Linked DNA regions of Tribolium castaneum. The protein of the gene in region 1 interacts with the protein of each later gene in a biochemical or structural test. Links are inferred from orthologs where the notes say so. Each region holds a gene or a part of one and is shown in the gene's direction. Other genes may lie near its edges.

Evidence for each region.
Region 2: of the proteins of ric8a (region 1) and Galphao, one has a biochemical effect on the other in vitro, tested with the Caenorhabditis elegans proteins (2 studies listed by BioGRID). The link is inferred for Tribolium castaneum from reciprocal best matches to the Caenorhabditis elegans genes ric-8 and goa-1.

The regions. Positions count from the first base shown.
Region 1 is NC_087402.1:964,803-972,765, forward strand, and holds ric8a (synembryn-A), read left to right. Parts: upstream 1-3,580; 5' UTR 3,581-3,735; intron 3,736-3,786; 5' UTR 3,787-3,799; coding exon 3,800-3,874; intron 3,875-3,927; coding exon 3,928-4,067; intron 4,068-4,230; coding exon 4,231-4,648; intron 4,649-4,916; coding exon 4,917-5,505; intron 5,506-5,555; coding exon 5,556-5,779; intron 5,780-5,893; coding exon 5,894-6,070; 3' UTR 6,071-6,280; downstream 6,281-7,963. Other genes in the region: RfC4 (replication factor C subunit 2), read right to left, coding at 6,367-6,591, 6,649-7,263, 7,305-7,416, 7,463-7,554. UniProt on the Caenorhabditis elegans protein: Chaperone that specifically binds and folds some, but not all, nascent G alpha proteins prior to G protein heterotrimer formation, promoting their stability and activity.
Region 2 is NC_087396.1:19,005,207-19,012,723, forward strand, and holds part of Galphao (guanine nucleotide-binding protein G(o) subunit alpha), read left to right. Parts: intron 1-2,652; coding exon 2,653-2,813; intron 2,814-2,869; coding exon 2,870-2,998; intron 2,999-3,319; coding exon 3,320-3,449; intron 3,450-6,276; coding exon 6,277-6,430; intron 6,431-6,484; coding exon 6,485-6,672; 3' UTR 6,673-7,517. UniProt on the Caenorhabditis elegans protein: Guanine nucleotide-binding proteins (G proteins) are involved as modulators or transducers in various transmembrane signaling systems. In the 1-cell embryo, probably together with gpa-16, controls nuclear rotation and spindle elongation during mitosis.

The DNA.
Region 1 (7,963 bases):
TTGCTTAGATCGCACATCGCTACTTCTACCATTTCTCGGTTATCTAGGGCTCTTGTTATTTTCTTGTATAGATCCAATGCTGCAGTAATGGTTGATCTACCACTTCTATAGCCATGTTGTGACTCACTAAATAAGTCATTTTGCTCAAGATACTTCATTAAACGATTCTTCAGAGCAGCCTCGAAGACTTTTGAAATTGTAGGTAGAATAGAGATTGGTCTAAATTTGTTGATGTTTTCTACTTCGCCTTTTTCTTTTGGAACCGGAATAATTTTTGCCACCTTTAACTCGTCAGGAAAGTATCCTTCAATAAAACTTTTGTTTATGAGCATAGTAAGTGGATTTGTAATTTCTAGGAGTATTTCTTTCAAAAATGACGTAGACATATCGTACACATCTTTGGAGTTTTTGCATTTTAAGGATCTTATCAGTCTTGTGACCTCTTCTTCACTAACAGGCGCTAACCAAAACGATTTTGCATTGCTTTTACACGCCTTGAGGAAATCACAAGGATCTTTGTCGATTTTTTTTATACTGTCTGACGTTTTCTCTCCTATCGTGGCAAAGTAGAGATTGAGTTCGTCGGCATTCAATTTGCATTCTTTGGTATTGCTTGTCTTCGTTTTTGTATTGATGATTTTCCAAATGGCTTTTTGCTTATTATCAGCATTGTTTAGGATATAAGCGTTGTAGTTTCTGTGGTTTTCTTCAATTTCTTGGAAGTAGCTGCGTTTATATGACTTGAAGACCTCAGCTGATTGTTGGCTTTTCTCAACTCTTGCTATTGTTTGTAGAGCTTCTAGTGTATTTTTCATACTCATGATTTTTTTACTAATCCACGTAGGTCTCTTATTGAATTTTGGTTTATTAATTTTTTCTTTTCTAGGGAAGAATTTGTCAAAGGCAGCTGTCAGAGTTGTATGGAAGACAGTGTAGGCCTCTTTTGCATTACGGTGTTTGAAGACACGAGCCCACTCAATTCCGGTTAAGTACTCCTTAAAGTAGTAAGTATTCTGTTCATTTATTCTTCTGTATATATGTTTTTCTGGTTTTCTAGGTTCTTGCACTGGGTTCTTAATCTTCAGGACTTGACAGTAGTGATCAGACATGCACCAACTTTTTGTCTCTTTTGAGAAGATTTCTTCTATGTTAATATTTGAAAATATATTATCTATGCAGCTAGAAGAAGTTTCAGTTGTTCTAGATGCCTCTCTCATTAGTGGTTGCATACCATATGTTGTGAAAGTTTCGATTAATAAAGATTGTTCGACGCCATCCTTGAGAATATTGGTGTTAAAGTCCCCAGCGACAATGTATCGTCTAGAGTGGTTCCTTTGTGTCAGGTTTTCTAGTGCTTCATTAATTTTATCTATGAAGTGCTTGAAGTTCTGATTTGGAGATCGATATACCGCCATTATTATTAAGTTTTTTGAAGGAATCTCAGCAGCTGAGATTTCTGCAGTGAATTCTTCACATAGGGGTCTAATGCCTTCAATATTTTTTGCGGAAATACCCTCCCTTGTTGCGATTAAGGATCCGCCATGCTGGTTAAGTGATCTGCTAAAGTGGCTTATAATATTATATCCTGGGATGGTTAAGCTTTCCAGGGTGTTGTCCTTGCACCAGTGCTCAGTGATAATTACAATGTCTACTTCGTCTTCTGTTAACTGTATAGTCAGTGCGTCTATTTTTTTCGATAGTGATTGTATGTTATAGTTTATTATTGTGGTTAGGTTTTCAAAACCTACCGATTTGTTGGGGTCTTCTTTTTCGTCGTTTCGTTGGTTTAATGATTGGCTTGTTTCGGGTTTTTTGTCCTGGACTGTGTTACCCTCCTTGTCAACTTGTTTTTTTTGCTTGTTGTTTTCTATCACCCTGTCAGATGGCTTGTTACTTTTTTTCTGAGCTTTTACGTTCGTCAGGTTTTCTCTTTCTTGGTTTGTGATGACATCTGTGTGTCCTTTGTTGGATCTTGTTATTGGTTTGGACGATTTGGTTTGTGACTCCGCTAACAGCTGATCTAACCTTTGTATTGTTCCGTTTTGATTTTGTATTTGTTTCAGACAGTCGTCAATTTTTCCCTTAAGGTTACTTACAATATCTATAAGGTGTCTCATCGCTTCCTCTTGCGAGGGTCTGATTCTGCAGGAGTCGCACACCCATTTGATATTTTCCTTGTAGTTATCTAGTACCTTGATTTCTCCAGGTTTGTATGGGCTGCATGCATAGTGAATGCATGTGTTGCACTTTCCATAACAAAGGATCACTTTGTCGATGTTTATATTTACTGTTTCACGGCACTGTTTACAGACGTGTGTCGTGGTCGCCATCTGTAGGTCTCGCAGAATGAGTAAAAAAAAACGTTCAAAACTAGTGTTAAACCGTGGGTAATAATTCCGGATAAAGAAGTGTTTTGGGTCGATTTTTTTAAACAAAAAATTTTAACACGAAAAAAGTTTGTATGGGACGATTTTACATAAGGTATCTTTGATTTTGAGACGCTCTTAGTAATTAATGTGCGTGAAAACATGAGAATATAAAGATAACACTTATTTTAAGCTGTTTTTTGAGTCAAAAAACAGTTAAATCGCTTAAAAGCGGCTTAAATTACATCAATTTCGGTCTAATTTTTAATTAAAACATTTTGACTACGAATATCTAAAGGTTAGGATAACAAACGACGTACAAATAAAACGTTCCCGTCCCCAATAGTTTCGTTAATGTCGCCAGAGAGCGCAGTTATCTAAATTTTTGAAAAAAATTGTTGTATTTGTACAACGGTTAACACATAGCAAACAAAAAAAACACAGCCAGATAGAGCATTAAATTCTCAATAGTAAGACATAAACATAAGCAAGAATTTTACTGTAATCTATTTAAAAAAAATTCAAAGTTTAACCAATTTGCTCTCTGTCCCATATTTTTCAAAACGCTGCGAATACCGTTACAGATACAAGAAAAATGTTAGAAAAAAAGTTGTAGAGAAGTAAATTTCCTACAAAAAAGTCCGCAAGACTAGTTCTCTATCTTCAACCATTTAGTCCCCAAAGTCGTTCAAAAACGCTCAAGCGCGGATTTGCTTCATTTTGTATTGGAAATTTAATTTATACTTAAACCGCTGAAAATAAAAACATAATTTTTATAATTTTTTTGTATTTCGTAAGAAATACAAAACTTTGCGCAAATTCTAAATTTTAAATAATTTTTTTCTCATCTTTCTTTCAGTTTTTCTCAAGTGCTACGACAACATTTCTGTATTTTTTCCAAGTAATTAGTGAATTGGTTGAATTTTTACTCGGCCGTACTATTTTTTTGGTACGTTTCGTCTCCTAACTTATAGTCCTCCGTAGACTCGATAAAGAAATTTAGTGCTTTTACAATTAACAATCAGAGGGCGCGACACTCACAACACTAATACGGTGATTGTATGTTTATAAAATTATTTTTTTAGCACAAGAAATCTATAATCGAGTTGCTTGAAATTCCAACTACACATAAAAACATCAAAAAACATTGTAATAAATGCTAGAACGTTTCGTAACAAAAAAAAAATTACAGGTTGCGCTTCTAAGTTACAGATACCTGTAAAAAAGGGGCGTCCAGTTTTGACGCTGTCAGTGCGCAGGTGTCAAAACTGTCAATTTCTCTAATTTTATCTGTGGTGTTTAGCAGAAAAACATAATTTGTGTGTAAACAACAAGAAAACATTCAATAAAACCGTAACGAAATATTCAGGTACGTTAACGTGGTTGTTGTACAGAAGTAACTAACAAGAGACACTAACAGGTGTTGAATAATAATGGATAAACATATCCAAACTATAATAAAAGGAGGAAAAGAAGCAGCAGAATCGCTACAATGTTTCGTTGAAGAGGTATGTATAAATATTTAATGACAGTTACAATAAACAACAATCTTGTATTGAAGGCTTCACAAGTATTCGAGTTTCCAGAACTCAATAAAAATAACCAACGGAAAGAATTATGGGAGGCATTATTTACATTGGCCAAAACAGCCAATAGTGAGATTACACTAATGAATTGCTTTATCGCAATTCGTATATTAAGGTATTTGCGGAATTATTCCGAAATGAATTGGCATATGGTAGCTAAATCCTAAACTATTTGATTGATTTGAGTTACCAACAGAAATTTAAATTTCCGTAGCCACCTATGCCAATTCAAATCAATACAATTTCGGTGATAATTCATAACATGCAAAAAATTTTAGTCGGGAAAAAATGGGTCTGAACGAGTTAATAACAGACGAATGGTTCAAACTCATGCAAAAACACTCCGGTTTGGACGATCCCCAGTACAAATTTGATGCTAGTAAATTATTATTGGCAATTGAAGTGGAAAAATGTTTATGCAATGTGATTTTCAACAGTCCTGTTGCTGCAGGACTGTGTTGCAAAAATGGTGTTTTGGAACAGTTAACTGAACGTATCAAAAATCCCCAAGAGAATAAAATACCGGAAGAAATCAGATTTTACGATGTTAAGCTCATTTTCCTACTAACAGCACTGTGTTCTGAAGTTCGCTCAAAAGTAAAGGAAGAATTAAAAGGGGTCGAATCTTTGCTTAAAATGCTAGATGAGATGCTGAAAGAAGCGGCCCAAGCATCACCCGAAAAAATTATTTTGGATGTAAGTATAGTTATATTTTTTTTAACAATTTATTTTGAGACACCCTGTATAATAAATTTTTTAAGACAACTTGTTGTTTATTCAATGAAGAATATTTCTTTGTGCAAAAACAGTTTGTAGGCATCGTTTTATTAATTCATTAATTAAAATAATTTTAATTATAAGGAAGTGTGGAAAAAATCTAAAAAAAAATCACATGTGTAGGGAAATAGTGGAAGATGTTTTAATAAAGTAATATTAATTATCTTGCTTGTTTTTTCTGTTTTAGGACCAAAAAGTGGACCTGGCTTGCGAAATTCTGAAAGCCCTATTTAACGTAACATTAAGTTACGGCATCTATGACGATAAAGAAGAAAACGAACAGTGTGACCATTTGGTCACTCTCTTAAGAATGTATCTTCTTGTACCAACACAAGATAAAGAAAAAGGCCTGGCATTAAAAAACAACGTAATCAATTTACTAACAAACATGCCTGATTCAACTTTCAAAAATCTGATAACACCTGTCCAACCTGGCCAAAACCTCAAACCCAAATTTCAATTCGAAGGCCAGAATATGACGGCTTTTTACGAAATCCTGATGGTGCTAAAAAGCAAATTTAACAACGTTGAAGGTGTCACAAAACAATACGAAATTTTGTGTCCTGTCGTAACAATTTTATTGAAAAGTGCAAACAGTGAACGTGCTATTCGAAAATATCTCCGTCTCCAAATTCTTCCACCTTTGAAAGATGTGCACAGTCGACCTGAACAAGGCTCCACACTTCGTAATCACTTGTGTCGGCTTTTAACCACGCCGATAACACAGTTGAGGGATTTGGTGGCCGATTTGTTGTTCATTTTGTGCAAAAAAAGCGGTAAAAACAATTCATTTTATTTATTTTTTAAATAATTATTATAATTTTAGTCAAAAGGATGATTAAGTATACGGGTTATGGCAATGCTGCGGGTCTCTTTGCCAAAAGGGGGCTCTTAGGGGGGCGCTCAGATAGAGGCGAGGCTGATTATAGTTCAGGTAGTGAGGGAAGCGAAACTGAAGAATATGCCGAATTTAAACATGGGATTAATCCAGTGATTGGGTGTTACGAAGAACCGCATCCCAACGCAATGGAAAATATGACAGAGGAACAGGTAATTTGATTTTGTTGAAAAAACGGTTATTGTGGCTCCTGGCGACCCACAACAAAAATTGTTTTTTTTTTTTGTTGAGGAAAAAAATAATCAGGGTAATTTTTTTGTTTGCAGAAAGAGTATGAGGCCATGAAGTTGGTCGAATTAATGGACAGTTTGACCAGATCTGGGACCATCCAACCATGTAGAGTAGGCGAGGATGGGAAACCTCATCCCATCAAACATGTGTTACAATTGCAGGAAGGTATAAAAGCGCAACAAGTCAACAATGACAGCGATAGCGATGATTAATTTATTTTTAATAAATAATAAATGTCGTAAACCTAGTCTGCATTTTAAAATGATTGAATCAAATCGTTTACTATTCTATTGTTTGTATTTTTAACGAAACGATGTTAGGAAAAATAGTGAGATTATTTCTTTATGTACGTATTTTATTTAATATTATTTATGTTGTGATACTTCCGTTTTAATGATCGAATAAAGTCGCACTGAATGTGATTTGTTTGTTTCAATATAAACACCAATTAAGTTGTATATTTTTTATTGAAAAACTTATTTAAATACAATAGCAAATTTTAAAGTAATCATTCACCCTTCACTCCTTTAGCTTCCATACATAATCTCGATATAAGTCCCGACATTTGCACCAAAGAGCACAAACCATCAACAATCCTCATATGTGTGACCCCAATTTGTTTAATAAAAGCAAGTTTCAAACTCTCCTCCATGTCCATATTTTTGCAAACCTTGAAAATATTCTTAATAATATCCTCGGCAGCGTACCCCAAACTCCACAAATGATCAACAATCTGCAACAAAACTCCACTAAATAACAAAAAAAAACACGTATTCAAATTGTTACCGACCTTGAACGCCTTCCTTACATCACCAGTAACACAACTGTTGAGCATATCTTTAATTAACATAGGATGGGGCTCATCGCACACTTTCAGCACATTAGTGGAATTAACAACCCCAAAGCCGTTAAAAGTCGACTGTAAATTATTCAACGCTTGTCTCATATCCCCCTGAGCTGTGAACACAATCGCCTCAAGCCCATCCTGCGTATATTCAACACTCTCCTGTTGGCACACTTGTATCACCCTTGCCAACACTTGGGCATCCGTTAAGCGGGAGTACCGCAAAATAGCACACCGTGACTGAATCGCTTCTATCACTTTTTCACTGTAGTTACAAGCCAAAGCGAACCGAGTCGTATTACTGTAAATTTCCATCGTGCGTCTTAGGGCTTGTTGCGCCCCTTCGGTCATACTGTCCACCTCGTCCAAGATAATGATTTTGTGGCGTCCAGGCGGGAGAGTGACTTTTTGTTGCGCAAACATTTTGATTTTGTTACGGACAACGTCTATACCTCTGTCGTTTGACGCGTTGAGTTCGAGAACAGCGTCTTTAAACGCTGGGCCTAAAAGGATTCGGGCCAGGCACAGGATTGTGGTGGTTTTGCCCACGCCAGGAGGCCCCTAGTTAATTGTGGAGTGGATAGGGGGAAAATTACACTTACGGCAATGATTAAATTGGGGAGGTTGCCCTGTTTGGCGATGACTGACAGGCGATTGGTGGTGTCTTCATTGCCTACGATTTCTTGGAAAGTCTGGGGGCGGTATTTTTCGATCCTGTTAACGAACTGTTAGAGATTGTGGTTGGAAGTGAGGGAGTTACCAAGGGAGGTTATCGGCTTTTTGTAACGGGCCTTGGCCGGGTTCGGCCGAAGGGCCCGCCTGTGGGGCTTCTTCTACTTCCATTGTCTCCATAATCAACTAACACAACGTATTGACAGTTTCCCTCCAAAGTTAAATTTTGTAGGTTAGTGTTCGGGTGTCATTGACATTGATTTGTGTGAAGACAGCTCCCCAAACCAGCTCCTCGAAATTCCGAAGAAACCCGAACATGAAGCCAGTTTCACACTAGCAAAATACGTTTCAATTTGCGTAGATGTATGTTTGGTTGTCAGCTTTGAAACCGTTTAATAAAATAAAAATCCGAAAAAACACTAACACCCTCTTAAAAATGACATTTTAAGAAAGTCACTTTGCTAATAGCGAAAAACTCAATTATTTACCACAAATTGCTTCATAATTTTTCCCACTTTTTCACCTAATTTCAATATTTATAGCTCCGCAAATGCACTATTGCAGTTTTCGCCCCATTTCACCCCGAAAT
Region 2 (7,517 bases), on another chromosome or scaffold:
GGAAATCATTTTGAACATCTCTTGTAGCATAAAAATCACGTTTTTCATGTTTTTTGTTATTAAAATGTTTTCTTGTTCAGTTAGATGTGGTATTTTAGCAACTATTATTAACTTATTTATTATTTTATTTTATTTATTTTATTATTTACTTATTTTTTAGTCAATGTTTAAGCGGCAAAAAGCTAGCAACAAATAAAGATAACATTTCAAAGGCTAACGACTTTTTATGTATTAGGTTCGTATCCTAAGAACAAATAGAGAAATAAATTTGATAGTCATTTGAAATGATACAATTTATATACTCTTAAGCATATACCAAATTTCAATTTTTGGTGAATAGTTTTATAATATTTAAACTGTATCCATACTAGCTACAGCTGTTTCATCTAAACCTCCCATTTAGAAGTATTGTGAGTTCTAATAATGGTAGTCATCTGAAAATTTGCTGACAACCATAATTTGTTAGGTTCTGTTCAATGAAAATATTTTCAACATGGAGGCATGGTTATACCGAAAGTCGTTATCAACTTTCTTATTTTAAATGGAAAACTATGTTTTTTACTACATTTTTGGATTATTGAGTTATTTTAAGGGAGTTTCTATTAGTTTTTCCTATTCCTAAATTTATTGGTTTTTTAAATATTTAGGATTTTTTGAAAATGTTTGGATTTTCTTTTTTGACTCTTCAAAAACCGGTAACTCTGCCGGTTTTAAAAAATTTGAAATCTTTTTTGGCTTTTTTGAAAGAGGTTTCTTTGGGATTTTTGAATTTTTAAAAAAAGTTAGCAAACTCCAAATTTTAAAAATGAAGTTTGCTAATTTTGAAACGTCTTAACTTTTTGCTGGCACTGAGAAATTCATTAGCCATAGCTCTTTTCGCATAGGTTGTCAAGGAAACGTTAGTAAGAAATCAAAGTTTTCCAAATCTAATTTCAATAAATATATAAGCTCTTTCATAGCTATAAAAACGCCAACGTCGAATTTTGCCAAATTATTTTTTTGAAATAAGATTGATAAAATTGTAAAATAGTTATTAATGACTATTAGATCTCTGCTTCAGAGTGTAAATTACATAAGCTATTTTTTTTTGAAGCGCATAATAGTTATTTTTGTAATTTACCGCCATTTTGATGCGTTGTTATAATAGTCATTATTTGACGGAACATTTTACGAAAATTTTTGGGTTGGCAAGAAGCAAAATCGGGACCGTATTTTTGTGAATTTCACAAATTTGATAAAACAAAAATTTTAAATCAATTTTTCACTTTAAAAATTGAGATATTACCAACAATCACAAAAATCCCTAAATCGACTAAAATAACAATTTTTGTTTAAAAACGGCAAAAAGGGGTCAAATTACAAATAATAGTATAAAAAACTCGTTTCATAAGACCTTAGAGCACTTATTCTTTCAAAAACTGAATTCGTGCTTTGGTCTTATGAAACTAGTTTTTTAATATACTATTATTTAACTAGTTTGAGTGTAAATCGGACGTTTTATTTCACGAATGAATTATCAAACCACGAGTCAAAATGAGTGGTTTATCATCTACGAGATGAAATGAGTGAACCGATTTACAAGAAAAAGAGTCGAATACGACATTTTATTCTTCGAATTAGACTCAACAAGGCTTAAAATTGCTTTAAATCTGTTAAAATATTCTGACGTTTCGTGTCGAGAAATGCCAAACAGTTATCAAAACTGTTTTACACAGGAGAAAAACCGGAAATTTTGACAGTATCGATGAATAAATAATTTATAACAGCTAATTTTGAGAGAAAATGCGACGTTGGCGTTTTTATAGCTTTGAAACAGCTAATATTTTGTTTTTACGGAAAGGAAAGCAAAATTATCAGCAGAACTTATCGTTTATTCAATGAGAAATGTTTCTTTGTTAAACTCTACAAAAATATCTGTGGCTAGTAAGGAATTTCCGACATTGTCAAAAGTCAAAGTAAATAAATCAACATAACTTGAAAATTGTCATAAATGGATATTAATAGATATCTGAAGTAGTAAAATAAAAATTGAGGCATTCCATTTGAAAAAATTGCCTTATAGCTTGTTGAAGTTGTGCAAAAATAACATTAAAATTTTGGAGTTCGTAAACTTTTTTTCTAATTTTGAACACACTGAAGGAAAGATATAGGCTTTCTGTTTTGATTTTTCGAAAACGTTTTTTAAAATTCTAAAAATAGCAGAATTGACGATTTTTTAAGTGAAAGGTGCAAAAACAAAAATTTACAAAGATTTTTAAATATTTCGAAAAACGCTAAATTTAGTTATTGGAAAATCTGACGAAAGTAAAAAACATATCTTTAAAATAAGAAAGTTAATACGGACTTCCAACGGCTTAGGGTGTGCACCAATTTTCAGATTTATATAATTATCAGAACTTTCTGTACTTCTAATGTACGGTTCAGACGGAACAGTCTGTATAGTAACAAACAAATCTGTGTTACTAACTTCGTTTACTGGAGTATTATAGCAAGCTTTTTTTTGTTTCGGGTTAATGTTAAACGAGACCACTTGCGGATTAAGTCAAAGTTTATTTTAAAGTGCACGTTCATTCACCGTAGCCAAAAAGGGCAGGCTTCAATGACCTTGTTACCTGTTGCTGATCGAATATAAAATGTGAATTTCGCCAACAGATCGATGGTAAAATGGTTTTCGACGTTATCCAAAGGATGGAAGACACGGAACCTTTTTCCGAAGAACTCCTCGCCGCCATGAAGCGGTTATGGGCTGATTCGGGGGTTCAAGAATGTTTCGGTCGTTCCAACGAATACCAACTGAACGATTCCGCTAAATAGTAAGCAAAAATCGACCATTCAGGGTAAGGTATTACCCACGACGTTTTTTTTCCAGTTTCCTGGACGATCTGGACCGATTAGGTGCCAAAGACTATCAACCTACGGAACAGGACATCCTCCGCACAAGAGTCAAAACGACGGGGATCGTCGAAGTGCATTTCTCGTTTAAAAACCTCAATTTCAAGTGAGTTTGTTGGCGATTTTTAATAAACACGAAAGTAAATGAAAAAAGTTTTTCCTTGTGTTTCTATTAATAAAGAGCTGAAAGAGCGAAGCCTATTTTATAAGTTGTCGTGGGTTTTCCCACGTAAAAACAACCGTTTGCAAAAGTTTCCATTGCACAAAGTCTTTTGAAATATTAAATGGCTACGTTTTTAGCATCTGCTGCAGCAACTCATTTCCAGAGCCTCTTTCATTGTGACTCACGGAATTAAATGTGCTTGAATTCAAAGAACCTTTTATGTGTCGCAGTGAAGTAAATACATCGTGTAATTTACTTTTACAGATTATTCGATGTGGGTGGTCAGAGGTCAGAAAGAAAGAAGTGGATTCACTGTTTCGAAGACGTGACGGCAATTATTTTCTGCGTAGCGATGAGCGAATATGATCAAGTCCTGCACGAGGATGAAACGACAGTGAGTATTCACAGAAAAAAGTTTTGGCGCCCTTATTTAATAAATAAAATAAATAAACACTATCTAATGTCACTCCAAAAAAGAAGCAAGTGGGTTATCAGAAAAGTTTGTAGTTTTAGTAACAAAGTACCAAAACTAAACGTTTCAAGGAAAATAACAAATAAAATTTATAACCACAATTTAAAAAAATCAAATTTTTACGTATACAACTTTGCTGATAAGTTCTTTAAACAATAATTTTTAGTAAAATTAGAACATATTGTAGATGTCTGTACTAAACAAACTAATATCTGTGCTAATTTTCCAAATTATGAAAAAAATGGGTCCCAAATTAAATAAAAAAGTTGAATATAATCCATTTTTTTTAAATCGCCAGCAGCGTCATAAAGAAAAATTCTACACCGGCTGCCGTTGTTTAAAAATTACCCTGTATTTGTGTTCTGAACTCAGTTTAGTAAATTCACCAATTAATTTTGCAGTGTCTCTTTTATCTTTTTTTTTTCATTTTTTGTTGATTCACTGTTTATCTTTCTTCTCACATCACAATTATATATTTTGAAATATATTTTCAACTAATTCACTATGCGCGCAAAAATAAATAGTACTTGCTTTTACCTAACAACGAATTTTTATAAGCAGGTGAAATTAAAATGCGCGAAACCCTGTAGTTGCGGAACCAAATTTTATTTAGTAATTAAAAACTTTAGGTGTAAATGAAAGTTTCATATTGTATAAGTAGGTACTAAGTAGTTTGATTTTTTTGTGTTTTTTAGTGATTACTAAGAGAGGACACAAAAACCTTTCGTCGCATTTTATTAAATGACGAATTTTGGATTGCAATGCAAAAGACTACATTTTGGATTGGCGAAGATTTTTGCAGAAGTTTTTGATTTAAAGTTCATTTAGGGTCGGTTTATAGAAAGTTTTGTTAAAATTTAATTCGCTGTTAAAAGTTAACAACACGAATGGACCAATCAAATTTGTTCAATTTGGTCACATGATCAATTAATCACGCATTTATTTGCAGATTAAATTAATGGCGCTTTTATAAACTAACCATAAGTGTCAGAAGTTAGTAAGCGTTTTCAAAGTTGCAAAATGAGATTTGCAATTTGAACAACGATAATTGCTGAATGGTTTATTTAATGAGGGGAACTGACAACGGTTTTTTTATAGACCGACATGTGAAACAGTTCTAGTAATTTTAAAAAAGATATTAAAATGATAATAGAATTTCGGTTTTTGTTTTATTTTGAAAAAAATGCCATTAAACAAATTAAAGTGTATTACACAAAAATACAGACTAGGTACCGACAGCAATTTTAGAAAATGTTGAATGTGAAAGCATTAGTCATATGAAGACCATCCTCGAAATATATAATACTTATAGATTTCTTTATCATTTTTCAATTTTTAATAAAAAAGAGTGACGAAAATGCAGACAAATCATAGACAAATTAAATAAGAATGTCTTGTTGCACAGCATTTGATGAAGAAACTGAAAATGTATTACTGTGCTAATTTTGAAAGTAAAGCTGAAGATTAATTTAGATTTCAAATTAATTACAGAAAATTTAAACCCAACAACTTTTTTCGGTATATAAACTTTTTTTTCATTAAAATTTATTCGTCTGTCAGTGAGTTTAATGATTGGACACATGGTATTGATATATCTATCCTCAGGTATTTGATAAGCACGCGTTCAAAGGACAGTCTAAATTTAAACAAAACTTTAAAAGTAAAACATAACCTTAATATTTAACGAAATTTTTAAGGACAAAAACAATGTCTTGACCAAAATTTTGACTTGGGGAATTCCGTTTAAAAAAGAACACACTTTAATTAACTAAAAAGTGCAGAGATAACAAAATTTTGTGAATAGTAACGATCTAAGCAACGGCAAAAGAAATGTTTTCTCTATTTATTTGATCCCCGGTATTCGCATGAAATTGAAGATTCACTTACTCAAAATCTCTCAAATATTCCATTACCTACATAAAATCATTTCCGAATTCTCACTTTCTAAATAAACGAATCTTGGTATGTGAAAAATATTGTAATAATTTGAAAATAATTGTGTGTAATTTTTGTGCTTTACTTTACTAAACTTTGTAAGAAATTGAATAAGCATAATAATTGTGTATTTGTTACGCTATAAATATTTTTTTGACGAGTGACTCCTTCAAGTTTTGGGACGTCGAGTCTACAAGGGGCGCTTAATCCGCTTCTGTAGTATATTCCATAATGTGGTTATCTAACATAGCAAGGGTGGGTTTAAAACAAATAGTTTCCTGTTCGTTACGTTATTAATAGAACCGTCAAACCAATTTTAATGGAATTTAATCTTTCATTACATCAAAGGAAAATTTCCGGGAAGCCTATTTTTGTAGGTGCATTAATTTTCCAACATTATTCCGCGATTTTTTCCTCGTTTAATTCCAAGCTCCAAATAGCTCAATTTGATTTGTCAAGTGGCACCGAGTGCTCTCAGCCTGAAAGCCAGTTAAAAAATTGAATGCGGAGGGTGGATTCTACCACCAAATCGCCGAAATCACACAATAATAAAATTTTCGCAAAGAAATGCGTTACTAAGTTCTGTGACAAATGTGTTTTACTCATTTATGTTGAATTTCATTCGTCGCAATTAATTCATCGCGCGATGACGTCAACGTATTTAATAATAATCAGTCGAAATGATTGTATCTGGGTATAAACAAACGTCACGGGAGTTATACCATATTTCATTTTATTGATTGGGAAAGTTTCTATTCCCTAATTTCTAACTTTATCATTGGAACTTTGCAGTGATCAATTTTTTCTGTTCCAGAACCGAATGCAGGAGAGCTTGAAGCTTTTCGATTCGATCTGTAACAACAAGTGGTTCACGGACACGTCTATAATCCTCTTCCTTAATAAGAAAGACTTGTTCGAGGAAAAAATTAGGAAGTCGCCTTTAACAATATGTTTCCCCGAATACGCAGGTATGGGTTTTGGTTGTGTTGAGTGATGATTTTTGAGGGCGCGTTTTGTTGAAGGTGCGCAAGAGTATGGCGAAGCAGCGGCGTACATCCAAGCACAATTCGAAGCGAAGAACAAATCGACAACAAAAGAAATCTACTGCCATATGACCTGTGCCACAGACACGCATAATATCCAGTTCGTATTCGACGCAGTCACTGATGTGATCATAGCTAATAATCTGCGCAACTGCGGCCTCTACTGAGAAACCTCTCATTACTATTCCTTTTCATACATTATTGACTTTAGTACATGGTTAAACCAAAAAAATACAACAGACATGGTAGTGCCGGTGTATTTGCTAAACGTTGCGGTATTTCTCGGCCAGGGGAAGTCCCGGCAACGTTTGCTGTTATAATTGTACCAAAGTTGAGTGAGATGTGTTCTTTTCTGTTGATCGATGACCTGGTTGGTGAGTTGACACAATACAAGGGGTAGCTTTCCTGTGCTTGATAATAACATCGGTTGACAAACAGTTTATTTTTCTGTCGATTTGTTTGACCTAATCTGTGCACAAAATAATTTGTATACAAGATAGTGTGCCATTAAGAAGAGATTGCATTTATCAACGTATTGTAGTTGCTTTCTTTTTCTTCTAAGTTATTGTTTTTTTTAATATATTACGGTTCAATGTTATTTATGTTTGTATAATTTTAATGAATGAAAAGAGCTATATTGCATAGATTTAGTTACCAAATTTGTAAAAACTAAGTATGTGTTAATGATAATGTGGAACCAAATTATTACTGTCTGGCTCAAGTAGCGTTCATCTACAATATGGTAATTAATATTAATTATAATAAACATTCTAACTATAAAGCCTACTTGTGTGTAATTAGTTTCGTCAAGTATAATACCAAAACATATTTTTCTAGATTTTGTTATTATACTTTACTGTCCGAATTGAATCAGGAAATTATGGACCTTTAAAGAACAGATGCAAATATAATATAATACATTAATGTGTACATAAAAACTATATGGCGCTTTAGCAGATTTGGAGTAGCTTCAGTACCATTTCGTAGTGTAGCCAGTGCATTTACTTTGATC